Linked DNA regions of Rattus norvegicus. The protein of the gene in region 1 interacts with the protein of each later gene in a biochemical or structural test. Links are inferred from orthologs where the notes say so. Each region holds a gene or a part of one and is shown in the gene's direction. Other genes may lie near its edges. The genes, in order: Txnip, Ptpn11 and Slc2a1.

The links.
Region 2: the proteins of Txnip (region 1) and Ptpn11 are reported together in a solved structure, tested with the Homo sapiens proteins (2 studies listed by BioGRID, with this or other methods). The link is inferred for Rattus norvegicus from reciprocal best matches to the Homo sapiens genes TXNIP and PTPN11.
Region 3: the proteins of Txnip (region 1) and Slc2a1 form a complex in vitro, tested with the Homo sapiens proteins (2 studies listed by BioGRID). The link is inferred for Rattus norvegicus from reciprocal best matches to the Homo sapiens genes TXNIP and SLC2A1.

The regions. Positions count from the first base shown.
Region 1 is NC_086020.1:186,780,470-186,784,772, forward strand, and holds the start of Txnip (thioredoxin-interacting protein), read left to right. Parts: upstream 1-1,463; 5' UTR 1,464-1,653; coding exon 1,654-1,903; intron 1,904-2,290; coding exon 2,291-2,363; intron 2,364-2,468; coding exon 2,469-2,616; intron 2,617-2,728; coding exon 2,729-2,831; intron 2,832-2,963; coding exon 2,964-3,220; intron 3,221-3,314; coding exon 3,315-3,471; intron 3,472-3,579; coding exon 3,580-3,731; intron 3,732-3,852; coding exon 3,853-3,897; 3' UTR 3,898-4,303. UniProt on the Homo sapiens protein: May act as an oxidative stress mediator by inhibiting thioredoxin activity or by limiting its bioavailability.
Region 2 is NC_086030.1:41,050,009-41,053,653, forward strand, and holds part of Ptpn11 (tyrosine-protein phosphatase non-receptor type 11), read left to right. Parts: intron 1-909; coding exon 910-1,102; intron 1,103-2,479; coding exon 2,480-2,596; intron 2,597-3,013; coding exon 3,014-3,127; intron 3,128-3,645. UniProt on the Homo sapiens protein: Acts downstream of various receptor and cytoplasmic protein tyrosine kinases to participate in the signal transduction from the cell surface to the nucleus. Positively regulates MAPK signal transduction pathway. Dephosphorylates GAB1, ARHGAP35 and EGFR.
Region 3 is NC_086023.1:138,023,005-138,026,649, forward strand, and holds part of Slc2a1 (solute carrier family 2, facilitated glucose transporter member 1), read left to right. Parts: intron 1-2,374; coding exon 2,375-2,535; intron 2,536-2,684; coding exon 2,685-2,925; intron 2,926-3,613; coding exon 3,614-3,645. UniProt on the Homo sapiens protein: Facilitative glucose transporter, which is responsible for constitutive or basal glucose uptake. Has a very broad substrate specificity; can transport a wide range of aldoses including both pentoses and hexoses.

The DNA.
Region 1 (4,303 bases):
TTAATCTCGGGGCTACTGTCTTTATATTCCAGGGCAAGGAAAAAGGCGATAGATAAACGCCTAATAATTCTGCCCAAATATGGAAGGAGGCTAGGACTCAATGACAAGGCTCTGGCGGGGTGGAGGTGGGAGGAGGTGGGTGAGGAATAGGGTAGGGGCCCTGGGGTGTCAGGGAGTGGTGGGTAGTCCTTCAACATACAAGAGTTTCTTTGCACTCAAGTTATTTCTCTAGTCAGCTCCTGAAGCATTTCTCAGCAAGGTTTGCCAAATAGCCAAGTGAAACCAATACAGCTTCAGCCCTGGGGAGACTGAAACAGGCTGAGGGGTATGCATTTCATTTAGTGATTTTGATGAGAGGACAAATGGGGAAAAAAAAAAAGAGTGACAGGAACTCGGGAACAAAGTAAGGAGTGACAGATCGTTTTCTTCCTTTTTCTTCCCCCCTGTTTGTTTGTTTGTACCCACCCCTTGTTTCCTGGAGGAGCAGGGACGAAGGGAGAGATCAGTGTAAAGGTACACACCTCACTAAAGCTACAGTGAGGTAAATAAGGGAACATATACAAAATGTTCCCCAACCTCACAGGTACACTGAAGAGATGAGGGGATAAGCAACAGGATGTGGACACTCCCTTACTGCTTCCGTTCCAGAGAACAGAACAGAATAGAACGTAATGGGCGAGGAACAATAGCAGCACATAGGGCATGGAACGAAGGGGTACACACCAGACCATGTACCAATAAGGACTTTAAGCCAGACTTAAAATATCTGACAAGTCCCCCGCCCCCGGGAGATGGAAGCGTTTTATTCAATAGAAGTGTAATGGGAGCACATCGGGTAGGCTCTTTCTCACTAACACAACTGCACTCTCGCCCTCCGCTCCATCCTGAAGTATCCTTGGGGATTGTTTTTCACAGACTTGCGAACTTGTGAGCCAGGAATAAATGGTCACGTCGAAATGAATTGCGCTGGCTAAGACAGGCATGAAATCCTCTCCTAAGCACATTTTTCTTTTACCTAAAAAAAGAAGGGGAAAAAAACCAACAAAGCACACACCCAAACAACCCAGCTCCCGAGAGGAGTACCCTGGATGAGGTTCAGGGTCTCGGGGTCCCAGACTCCCGAGGGAGCCACCCGCTGCCCCAGGCCCCGCCCCTCCTCCCTGGCAAGGCTGCGCACCCGAACAACAACCATTTTCCCCGCTAAGAGCACACTGTGTCCACGCGCCTCTGCGGCCTCGCTGATTGGTTAGAGGCCTGGTAAACAAGGACCAAGTAGCCAATGGGAGAACTGTGCACGAGGGATGCACGAGCCTCCGGGCCAGCACTCGCGTGGAGCGTCAAGCCAGGCGGCTATATAATGCCGTTTCCGGCTCCCGCTTGACACTCTCCTCTTCTGGTCTTTGGATATCCAGAGTTCCTCCAGTTGCGAGAAAACAGCTGTTATTTTTCTCCTGAAAGCTTTTGGCACAACCAGCTGGTTGAAACTTTCAGGCACCTTTTAGAGAAGTTGTTAAGGTTTTGTTTGAGGCTTTCTTTGGGTTTTTAAGCCCTCTCTGCCTCACGGAGAGACTTAAGTTCTTAGTTTGCTGAGAAGGATTCTGAAGAGTTTTTCCTCTCCGGCTTCCGTTTTTCTTGAACCCACTCGGCTCAATCATGGTGATGTTCAAGAAGATCAAGTCTTTTGAGGTGGTCTTCAACGACCCTGAGAAGGTGTATGGCAGCGGGGAGAAGGTGGCCGGCCGGGTGACAGTGGAAGTGTGTGAAGTTACCCGAGTCAAAGCCGTCAGGATCCTGGCTTGCGGTGTGGCCAAGGTCCTGTGGATGCAAGGGTCTCAGCAGTGCAAACAGACCTTGGACTACTTGCGCTATGAAGACACCCTTCTCCTAGAAGACCAGCCTACAGGTACAGCTCTTGGCAGGACGGATAGTGACTTATGGGGCTGGGGGTGGGGCCTCCACTAAATGTTTCGAGTCGATCGTTTGAATGGTTTGAGCTGTTGGCCCCTATATTTTTACCTTTTAATTTGCAAGTTATTCCGCTACCCTCCTCCACCCCCCATAGTAATTGGAACAGTTTCTGGGGTGCTGTTTCCTGAAGGTGTTGCCTTAGCTACGTAAAGATTAATGTATTCGTGGGTTGTGCAACTTTCTGTCCCGGGGAATCTTATTCCTTAGTGTGAGAGATGAAAGTGTGGAAGTAAGACAGTCTGCTGCCCAGGCACTCCTCACTGATGCTGCATTTGGAATGTAACAAGAAGTCTAATGGCCCCTTGCCTTTGTTTCCCCGCAGGTGAGAACGAGATGGTGATCATGAGACCAGGAAACAAATATGAGTACAAGTTCGGCTTTGAGCTTCCTCAAGGGTAGGCATCACCGACCGCACCATGGACTCTTTATTTCTAAGTCTTCCCCCTCCATTGATATTTCACATTTCTTAGCATTAATTTTTGTTCATTGTTTTGACACAGGCCCCTGGGAACATCCTTCAAAGGGAAATATGGCTGTGTAGACTACTGGGTGAAGGCTTTTCTCGATCGTCCCAGCCAGCCAACTCAAGAGGCAAAGAAAAACTTTGAAGTGATGGATCTAGTGGACGTCAATACTCCTGACTTAATGGTGAGGCTTTTTTCTTTTATTTTCTTTAAGGTTTTATTCTCCTTGGTCAGAGATAATGAATTAGATGCATGAGGCATTGAAATAGCTCAAAACATTATTTCCTTCTTCACAGGCACCAGTGTCTGCCAAAAAGGAGAAGAAAGTTTCCTGCATGTTCATTCCTGATGGACGCGTGTCAGTCTCCGCTCGAATCGACAGAAAAGGATTCTGTGAAGGTAAAAGCCCAGTGCTTATAATACCAGATAGGATAGCCACAGCTGTGGGGTTTGGAGGGGGTTGTGGGATAAAGGCGGAGGAAATGCTGTTAAATTTAATGGATATTCTTCCTTCCTCCTCTTCAACTCTAGGTGATGACATTTCCATCCACGCTGACTTTGAGAACACATGTTCCCGAATCGTGGTCCCCAAAGCAGCTATTGTGGCCCGGCACACTTACCTTGCCAATGGCCAGACCAAAGTGCTCACTCAGAAGCTGTCCTCAGTCAGAGGCAATCACATTATCTCAGGGACTTGCGCATCATGGCGTGGCAAGAGTCTCCGAGTGCAGAAGATCAGACCGTCCATTCTGGGCTGCAACATCCTCAGAGTTGAATACTCCTTGCTGGTGAGTGAGGAGGGAAGAGAAATAGTTGCTTGGGTGCAAAGTCAGTGCCTCCTCTAACACAACCCATCTAACAAACTCCCACCTTCCTTCCTAGATCTATGTTAGTGTCCCTGGCTCCAAGAAAGTCATCCTCGATCTGCCCCTAGTGATTGGCAGCAGGTCGGGCCTAAGCAGCCGGACATCCAGCATGGCTAGCCGGACAAGCTCTGAAATGAGCTGGATAGACCTAAACATCCCAGACACCCCAGAAGGTAAGCTTCAGCTAATAAACTCTTCGTTTTGACCTGCTTGGGCTTGTGGAGTTGGGGTGGCCTGGGAGTTTCTTAGCTGGACTTCTGACCCCGTTTTCTCTTTTTCAGCTCCACCTTGCTATATGGACGTGATTCCTGAAGATCACAGACTGGAGAGCCCCACCACCCCCCTGCTAGATGATGTGGATGATTCTCAAGACAGCCCTATCTTTATGTACGCCCCCGAGTTCCAGTTCATGCCTCCGCCCACTTACACTGAGGTGAGAGTCACTACTTTTTTTTAAGGGTCAAGATTTTGTCCTAGGCCTTCTGAGGGAAGGGATTCGTGTGGGTTTTCTACTTACCTAAAAAATCTGAAAGTCTCCTCGCTCTTCCCCCTAGGTGGATCCCTGCGTCCTTAACAACAACAACAACAACGTGCAGTGAGCCTTCAGGGACGACTCATCTGTACTACTCAACGCTTTCTGCCTCTCTGCTTGAACTCCAATGTTTCAGAGACTCAGTCTCTCCAGTGGGGAGTGGGTACACCCCCGCCTCTGACTCCACAGATGGGTGGCAATCAGTAGGCAAGTCTCCAGCCTCAAGGGGTGCAGACCAGTGCCCGCACCGTGATATAGGAGTGTTTGCTGGGTGAATGTCGGAACGCTCAAAACATTCAGACCTGGCCCACTTTCCCAGATGTTGGAAATGAAGAAGTTGTTATTTTTTTGAGTCGGGGTCTAAGTGACCTTCAGGCATGGTCTTTCCAAGGTGTTTTGTTTTGAAGGGAATTAAAAGAACAGACCATGAACTTCTGTGCCATGGGGCAACAGAGCCAATGTCACATACTAGA
Region 2 (3,645 bases), on another chromosome or scaffold:
GCCGAGGCCAGGAAGGAGTGCTGTTTGCGGGTCTGCCCTCTTGGTTTGCTCAGCCTGCTTTCTCGTAGCACCCAGGACCACCAGCCAAAGGGTGGCATTACCAACAGTGACGGGCCCTCCCCCATCAGTCATCATTAAGGGAATGCGCAGTAGGCGAGCCCACAGACCAGTCTGGTAGGGACATTTTCTCAGTTGAGGATGTCTCTTCCCAAATGACAGTAGCTTCTATGAGGTAGACATAAAACTAGCCGGTGCACACGAAATGTAAGTGTGCACCACCACAACTAGGCTTGTCACATCCTTACTTCCCTAAATGGCTGTAACACACAGCTGGTTCATTAGGGTCAGGGACTAAAAAGTCAAATTGTGTCTCTCAAAGATGGGAGATTTAAAAGGAATTAGGAAGCATTGAGGATATAGGGGGTCTTGTTTGTTTTGTTTTGTGACAGGGTCTCTCCATGTAGCTCTGGCTGTCCTAGAATTCACTCTGAAGACCAAGCTGGTCTAGCACTCAGACCCACCTGCCTCTGCCTCCCCAGTGCTCGGATTCAGGGTGTATACATACCATCACCGTCTGGTGGGCATTATTTTCCAGTGATTGAGAGGAGGCCAGGAGTGATGGCAGTGCTTACAATATCAGCTTAGGAGCCTGAGGCAGGACGATCTACAGCTCCAGACCAACCTGGGTCACATAGTGAGACTGCCTTAAAAAAGAAAACTGGACTTTGGTTGTCATTTTTAACATATCTTTGTCATTTTTCCTGTCTGAGGTGTAGATTCTGTCTGTCAGACACTCTGCCCCCTAGAGGAAGCTGTTAGCCAAGGGCCTGTGCTGGGGAGAGCTGAGTGAGGGTGAGCATGCCGCATCCTGCAGCCGAACTCTGCTTGTTCCTTCAAACATGCACACAGGTGGTTCCACGGTCACTTGTCTGGAAAAGAAGCAGAGAAGCTGCTGACAGAGAAGGGGAAGCATGGCAGTTTCCTCGTCCGGGAGAGCCAGAGCCACCCTGGGGACTTCGTCCTCTCCGTCCGCACTGGTGATGACAAAGGGGAGAGCAATGACAGCAAGTCCAAAGTGACCCATGTCATGATCCGCTGTCAGGTAGGGCGCCATGGGGACTGTGGGCCCACTGCGGCTGCACTGGGGGCTTCTGCTGAGAGGACGAGACCTCAGCACTTGCAACTGTCCTTCTGTGCTCGCTCATGCACATCCTGTGTGCATCTCACCATTTTGAAGCACTCTTGTTTTTTTCCTTTTTTGTTCTGTGTTTTTCTGTTGGCTTTTTTGTTTTTCTGAGATAGACTGTATGTATCCATGGCTGTCCTGAAGCCTACTGACTGGTGACACTGTGCACTTGGCCCTCCCAGGTCTGTGAGTGCATCCCTGGGGTCAGCAGACTTCAGAAAAGCATCCTGTGTCTATCTGAACACATGCAGACTTCTTCCTTGTCACATTCCCTAGAGTACAGCATCACAGCTGCATACGTGACATCACGGGAGCAGTGATGCCAGGCTGAGGCACTGTGAGGAACCTGGCGGTGATGGGAAGTGTGTTCATCATGATAGAGTTTACATTTGATTTTTTTTTTTAACGTTAGTATTTTTTTAAAATTAATTTATTTTATTTATGTGAGTACACTGTAGCTGTCTTCAGACACACCAGAAGATCCCATTACAGATGGCTGTGAGCCACCATGTGGTTGCTGGGAATTGAACTCAGAACCTCTGGAAGAGCAGTCAGTGCTCTTAACCGCTGGGCCATCTCTCCAGCCCATTACATCTGATTTTGATTTAATTACATTTTATGTCATCTGTTGTCTTTGGTGCTGGGATGGAACCTAGCACCTGTTCCACCACTGAGCCGCAGTCCCCTGCCTCACCTGCTTCCTCAGCACCGCTGCTTCCTGTCTGGGAGTCAGTCTCTGGGCTTCAGTTGACACAGTTCAGGGTTCCGAGTCGGCTGAGTCAGTGTACCCGTCACTGCAGAATGCTTCTGCCGCCCTCCCATCCAGTCTCCAGTGTGTGGAGCACTGTAGTCATCTGAGGCTCCTGAGCGTCTGCGTGACCGTGTCACCAGTACTTTCCTCTGTCCCTAAGTCCTTCACAGTCACTGATCTCTTGTCACTGTGTCGGACTTTTTCTTCCTTGGATGCTACATGTAATGAGGGGACATCGTGTGTTCCTTTCGCACTTGGCTTATTAGAGTTACTAGGAGGCTCTCCTGCCTTATCCACTTGCTACCGATGACAGGGTTCTCTTGTCAAAGGCAAGTGTGGCTCCACTGTGATGACGTGGGCGCGAAGTATGTTAGCACGGTATGTTAGCATGGTACGTGTGTGCCTTGTTCTCATCGTGCTCTCTAGATAGCCGTGTGGCTTGTTTCTGTGTATAGGCTCGTGTCACTGCGCGCGGTGGCTGCAGTTGGTGGAAGACAGTAACCTAGCTGAGCTAATGGGCGCCATCTGTTTGGTCTTGAAAGGAGCTGAAATATGATGTTGGTGGAGGAGAGCGCTTTGACTCTTTGACAGACCTGGTGGAGCATTACAAGAAGAACCCCATGGTGGAGACACTGGGCACAGTCCTGCAGCTCAAACAGGTTAGGAAACGGAAGCTGCTTCTCCTCAGGGTTGAGAGAGTTCTACCATGGAGTCTCCCACATGCGTGTTCTAGTCGACTTGCGTCATCATGACAAGATACACGAGGGCTGGTTAATAGGGGAGAGGGCTCAAGGGGTCCTACAGCCACTTGACCCTGTTGCTTTGGGCCTGTGCTGGCATGTTTACCATGGTGGGAACACACTCGGTGCATGGGGATTACCGTGTGGCTGAGAGACAGACAGGAAGGGGCCCTGATCTACTTCAGCGACCACAACCACCATACACACACGCACAAGCACATGCACACATTTGGGATGATGTACCTCCCGCCTTCGCTTTTGTGAAGTCTTTCTTTCTGCATCAATACTGTTTAAAACATGCTTTTTCCCCTTTTCCACCACTGCTGAACTTAACAGCCCCTCAACACAACTCGTATTAATGCCGCTGAAATCGAAAGCCGGGTTCGGGAGTTAAGCAAGCTAGCCGAGACCACAGATAAAGTCAAACAGGGCTTTTGGGAAGAATTTGAGGTAAGTTACTGACACCTTGTTTTTACGTGCACTGTTAGGTGATGTTTGAGTGGGTGAGGGGGACCCTTGTGCTGGGCCTGGCTTCCTTTGCTGTGTGTGCAGCAGGTTGCTGAGGTGATTTCTCTGAAGCAGAAGGGCATTGTGTTTCTGGGAAGGGTTGGCAGCTGGTCTCAGACAGGTGAGCCAGCAGCTCCATTTACTTTTTGGTTCAGACCACTGGCAGGACCCCAGGAAAACAAGGCTAGAATTCCTCTGCCATCCCAGGGGCTTCAGACAAACCACAGCTTCAGTGCTCTGAGTGAGGCCAGGAGAAGGGCCCTGGCTATGAGTTCACACGATGGCAGCAGGAAGGTTAAGGGGCTGACTTCAGTCCTGAGCCCTGTCTGTGTGTGAGCCTGTCTGTGGCCCTATGTGCTTATATGCTGCTGACCCGTGTGTCCTCTGGTATGTCTGTCTTTCTCTCCTTGCTCATTTGACCAGAGCTTTGCAGACAGACTTTGACCTCTTCCCCTCCACCG
Region 3 (3,645 bases), on another chromosome or scaffold:
GTACCATAAGTGTGTTTCCTCAGTTTCTTCTGGCACTGTAGAGGAAGCAGTGTGTGCCACACATAAAGACCTTTCCGTGACAGTGTGTGCAGACTGGCCATGCTGTAACAGCTGGAGAGTAGCTCAGTGGTAGAACATGTGACCAATATGTGCAGGGCCCTGAGCTTATCCCCAGCACCGCAAAACAAAGCCAGGTAGAAAAGAGTAGCTCTGTGATCCAGCAACATTGGCATAACAGCGTTACTCATGGGTCTGTAAATGTACCCACTGTGCTGCCAGTCATTAAAGTTTAGCACGGGGCTAAACAGGCAAGCACTAGAGCCCTTGCCTAGTGTACCCAGGACCCCAAGTTTTAGTCTTCACTATGACAGAAACATGTCTAGCACACGGTCATGTTCAAGTAACAATACCATATATGACAATAGGGGCTGGAGGGACTGCTCAGCAGTGCAGAAGACAGATTGCTCGTGCAGGTTTAGACAGCTGCCAACTTCCTATACCTCCAGCCCTGGGGGAATCTGACGCCCCCTTCTGGCCCACATGAGCACCAGCACTCAGGTGCGCATACCCACATACAGATAAACACATAGACTTTAGAACAAAATTTTCAAAAATTATAAATGGTAACAGAAGTAGGTAGCTATCATTAGTTTATTGGGTTTATTTTTTTAATCATAATTTTACAGTGAGTTCCTTCTACAGACTAGAACAGCCTGCCCTAAAACACCCTAAACACAGGGCAGCATCCTGGGGTATCTCATGTTTGCCATCCCTTAATTGCATCAAGAACCCTGAATGACCCACACCATTTAGTTTTATTCCAAATGCACTCTAATAACACATTTCAGAGAGTGGGCCCCGTTTAAGTGATGCATGACCGCAATGCCGAAGTCGGTGTTAGAGAAGGAGGAGGTTGGAGCTCACAGCTGCTCACCATGCCCACAGTAGCCCGGAGCAAAGGAGTGAGCTGGGATGAGAACTCGACTGCATTCCCATTCAGAACCAGCTTCTGATCCCTGTGCTGCCTGGCTTCCCTGTGTACAGCAGGTGCTTACTCTGTATACAGTATGTGCTTAGGCTGCCTTTTCCCAATCGAGCCTGGCTTGCTCTGTCTCTGGACTTGACCCACAAACCATTGTGACAGAGCAGGGGTAAAGAGGAGGAGGGACTAGGGCCCAGGACCAGGGCAACCGACCTCGGCTGCCCCACTTCCACACACTTTTACTGCTTTCCTTTCTGCACTCCTTCCTTTCTGCCATACTTGAGGTTTAGAACCAGGACTGGATACCGAGTGGCTGTGCAGACCACGTGCTGTTCCATGCACAGGGGCATGCAGTGTACACCTGTGTCAGTGTGGGGATTGGGTACGCTACAAGTGATGGTGGAGGAGGGGCTGTGGCTGGCCGAAACCGGGAGCCTTATGGGTACATGTGATCCAAGCCCAGCCACTCACATCTATGATCCTAACATTCAACAGGCTGAGGCAGGAGGGTTGCTATGAGCTCCTGAGACCCTGTTTCAAAGAAAGAAAGAAAAAAAGTGAAGTGAAATGCAAGCTATGCTGGGTCACGTCAGGGTGTGGACCAGAAAGTTGTTTCCCTGTGTGTACTTGGGCCTGTCTGTGGCTGCATATGCGCTGGGTGGGTCCGGCTAGGCCTGTGGCACTGGGTGTTGTCAGTGTTGCCTGACAGTGGTGAGTGTGTCAGAACCAGTGCCACCTGCCCATGGCCATATCCTTGGCACTAGGTTAGGCCCTCTGTGGGGGCAGGGCTTATGAGCAAGCCCACACCAGGACAGATTCTCCAGTTCCTGGAACCACTTTCTTGCCTAGGGCCTTTCCCTGAACATCCCAGATGAGCACCTGGAAAGGAAAGGAGGCCTTGGTTCCTTCAGGTGGCGTTTCCAGCCAGCCACAGGGGAGCTGGGCCTGGGAGACAGAAGTGACAGTGTGCCTTGGAGCGTGTCCCTTAGTCCTGCAGGCTCAAAATGCAGAGTCAGTGAGTGTACACTTCCTACAGGCTCAAGAATGGCATAACCTGTCTGTCCAGCTGCCCTTCCTCCCTGGCAGGGGGTTGGGATAGGGCCCAGGGCCTACATACAGCTGTGGCCTAGAGTGTGCAGGGAGCCATCTGAAAGGGGCCAGTTGGGCAGAAGCATTTCTTTTCCTGTACCTTCCTGCTCTGTGCCCAAAGCCAGCTGTCATCCTTGGCCATCTTCCCCAGAGAGTCTTGAACAACTTAGGAAGAGAGCCGAGGAGGACACTGAACCTATACAAAGAAGAGAGCTGGCTGGAGAACACAGTAGTTTGCAGCAGAGCCAAGTTCTGGCATCTGTGGTGAGGTGGCCACACCTACCCAGGCTCTTCTCCCTGCAGGTAATTGAGGAGTTCTACAATCAAACATGGAACCACCGCTATGGAGAGTCCATCCCATCCACCACACTCACCACACTCTGGTCTCTCTCCGTGGCCATCTTCTCTGTCGGGGGCATGATTGGTTCCTTCTCTGTGGGCCTCTTTGTTAATCGCTTTGGCAGGTAAGCAGGAAAGACGCCAGCCCATGTCGTTCTGCATGGGGAGCTCTGGGGGAAGCTGGTAATAGAAACATCCCTGACTATGGCCTCATCCCTGGGGAGCCTGGGGTCCTGGGGTCCTGGGAGCTGGCTAACCTGCGACCCATCCCCAGGCGGAACTCCATGCTGATGATGAACCTGTTGGCCTTTGTGTCTGCCGTGCTTATGGGTTTCTCCAAACTGGGCAAGTCCTTTGAGATGCTGATCCTGGGCCGCTTCATCATTGGAGTGTACTGTGGCCTGACCACCGGCTTTGTGCCCATGTATGTGGGGGAGGTGTCACCCACAGCTCTTCGTGGAGCCCTGGGCACCCTGCACCAGCTGGGCATCGTCGTTGGGATCCTTATTGCCCAGGTAAGCCAGTCTGGGTCTACCTGACCAGCACTGCCTCTGGCACAGCTTTGTCCCTCGGGTCACAGTCGAGCAGAGCTTTTCTACCCAACCCTGCCTAGGACAGCCTCACGGTAGGCAGATCCCAGAGCACACAGGAGCCCCAGGCCCACCCGCCTACAGCTAGAGCCCTTGGCCTTCATTTGGGCTTCCAGGCCTAGAAGCCTTCATGGGTAGGGTATTCCTCTTCTAGAGGTCCCTCCACCCACCCTTTAGTCCTACAGCCAGAGTAGCAACCCCCACATGTGTGCAGACACATTTATACGTGGCTTTATCCCTTGTCTTTTTTTTTTTTTTTTTTTTTTTAGATTTATTCATTTATTATATATAAACACACTGTAGCTGTCTTCAGACACACCAGAAGAGGGCATCAGATCTCTTTACAGATGGTTGAGAGCCACCATGTGGTTGCTGGGAATTGAACTCAGGACCTCTGGAAGAGCAGTCGGGTCTCTTAACTGCTGAGCCATCTCTCCAGCCCTTCCCTTGTCTTGTATAATTTGAGCTGGTTTTGCAGATTCGAGAATGGGGTCAGAGAGGTCCTTCCCTCTCGCCCAGCAGCTGGTGGGCAGGGAAGGCCCGCTTGGTGGCTGGGGTGGATGCTGGAGTAGGGCCAGGGCAGGGCACTCACAGTCCTAGTTTCTTTGTCCAGGTGTTCGGCTTAGACTCCATCATGGGCAATGC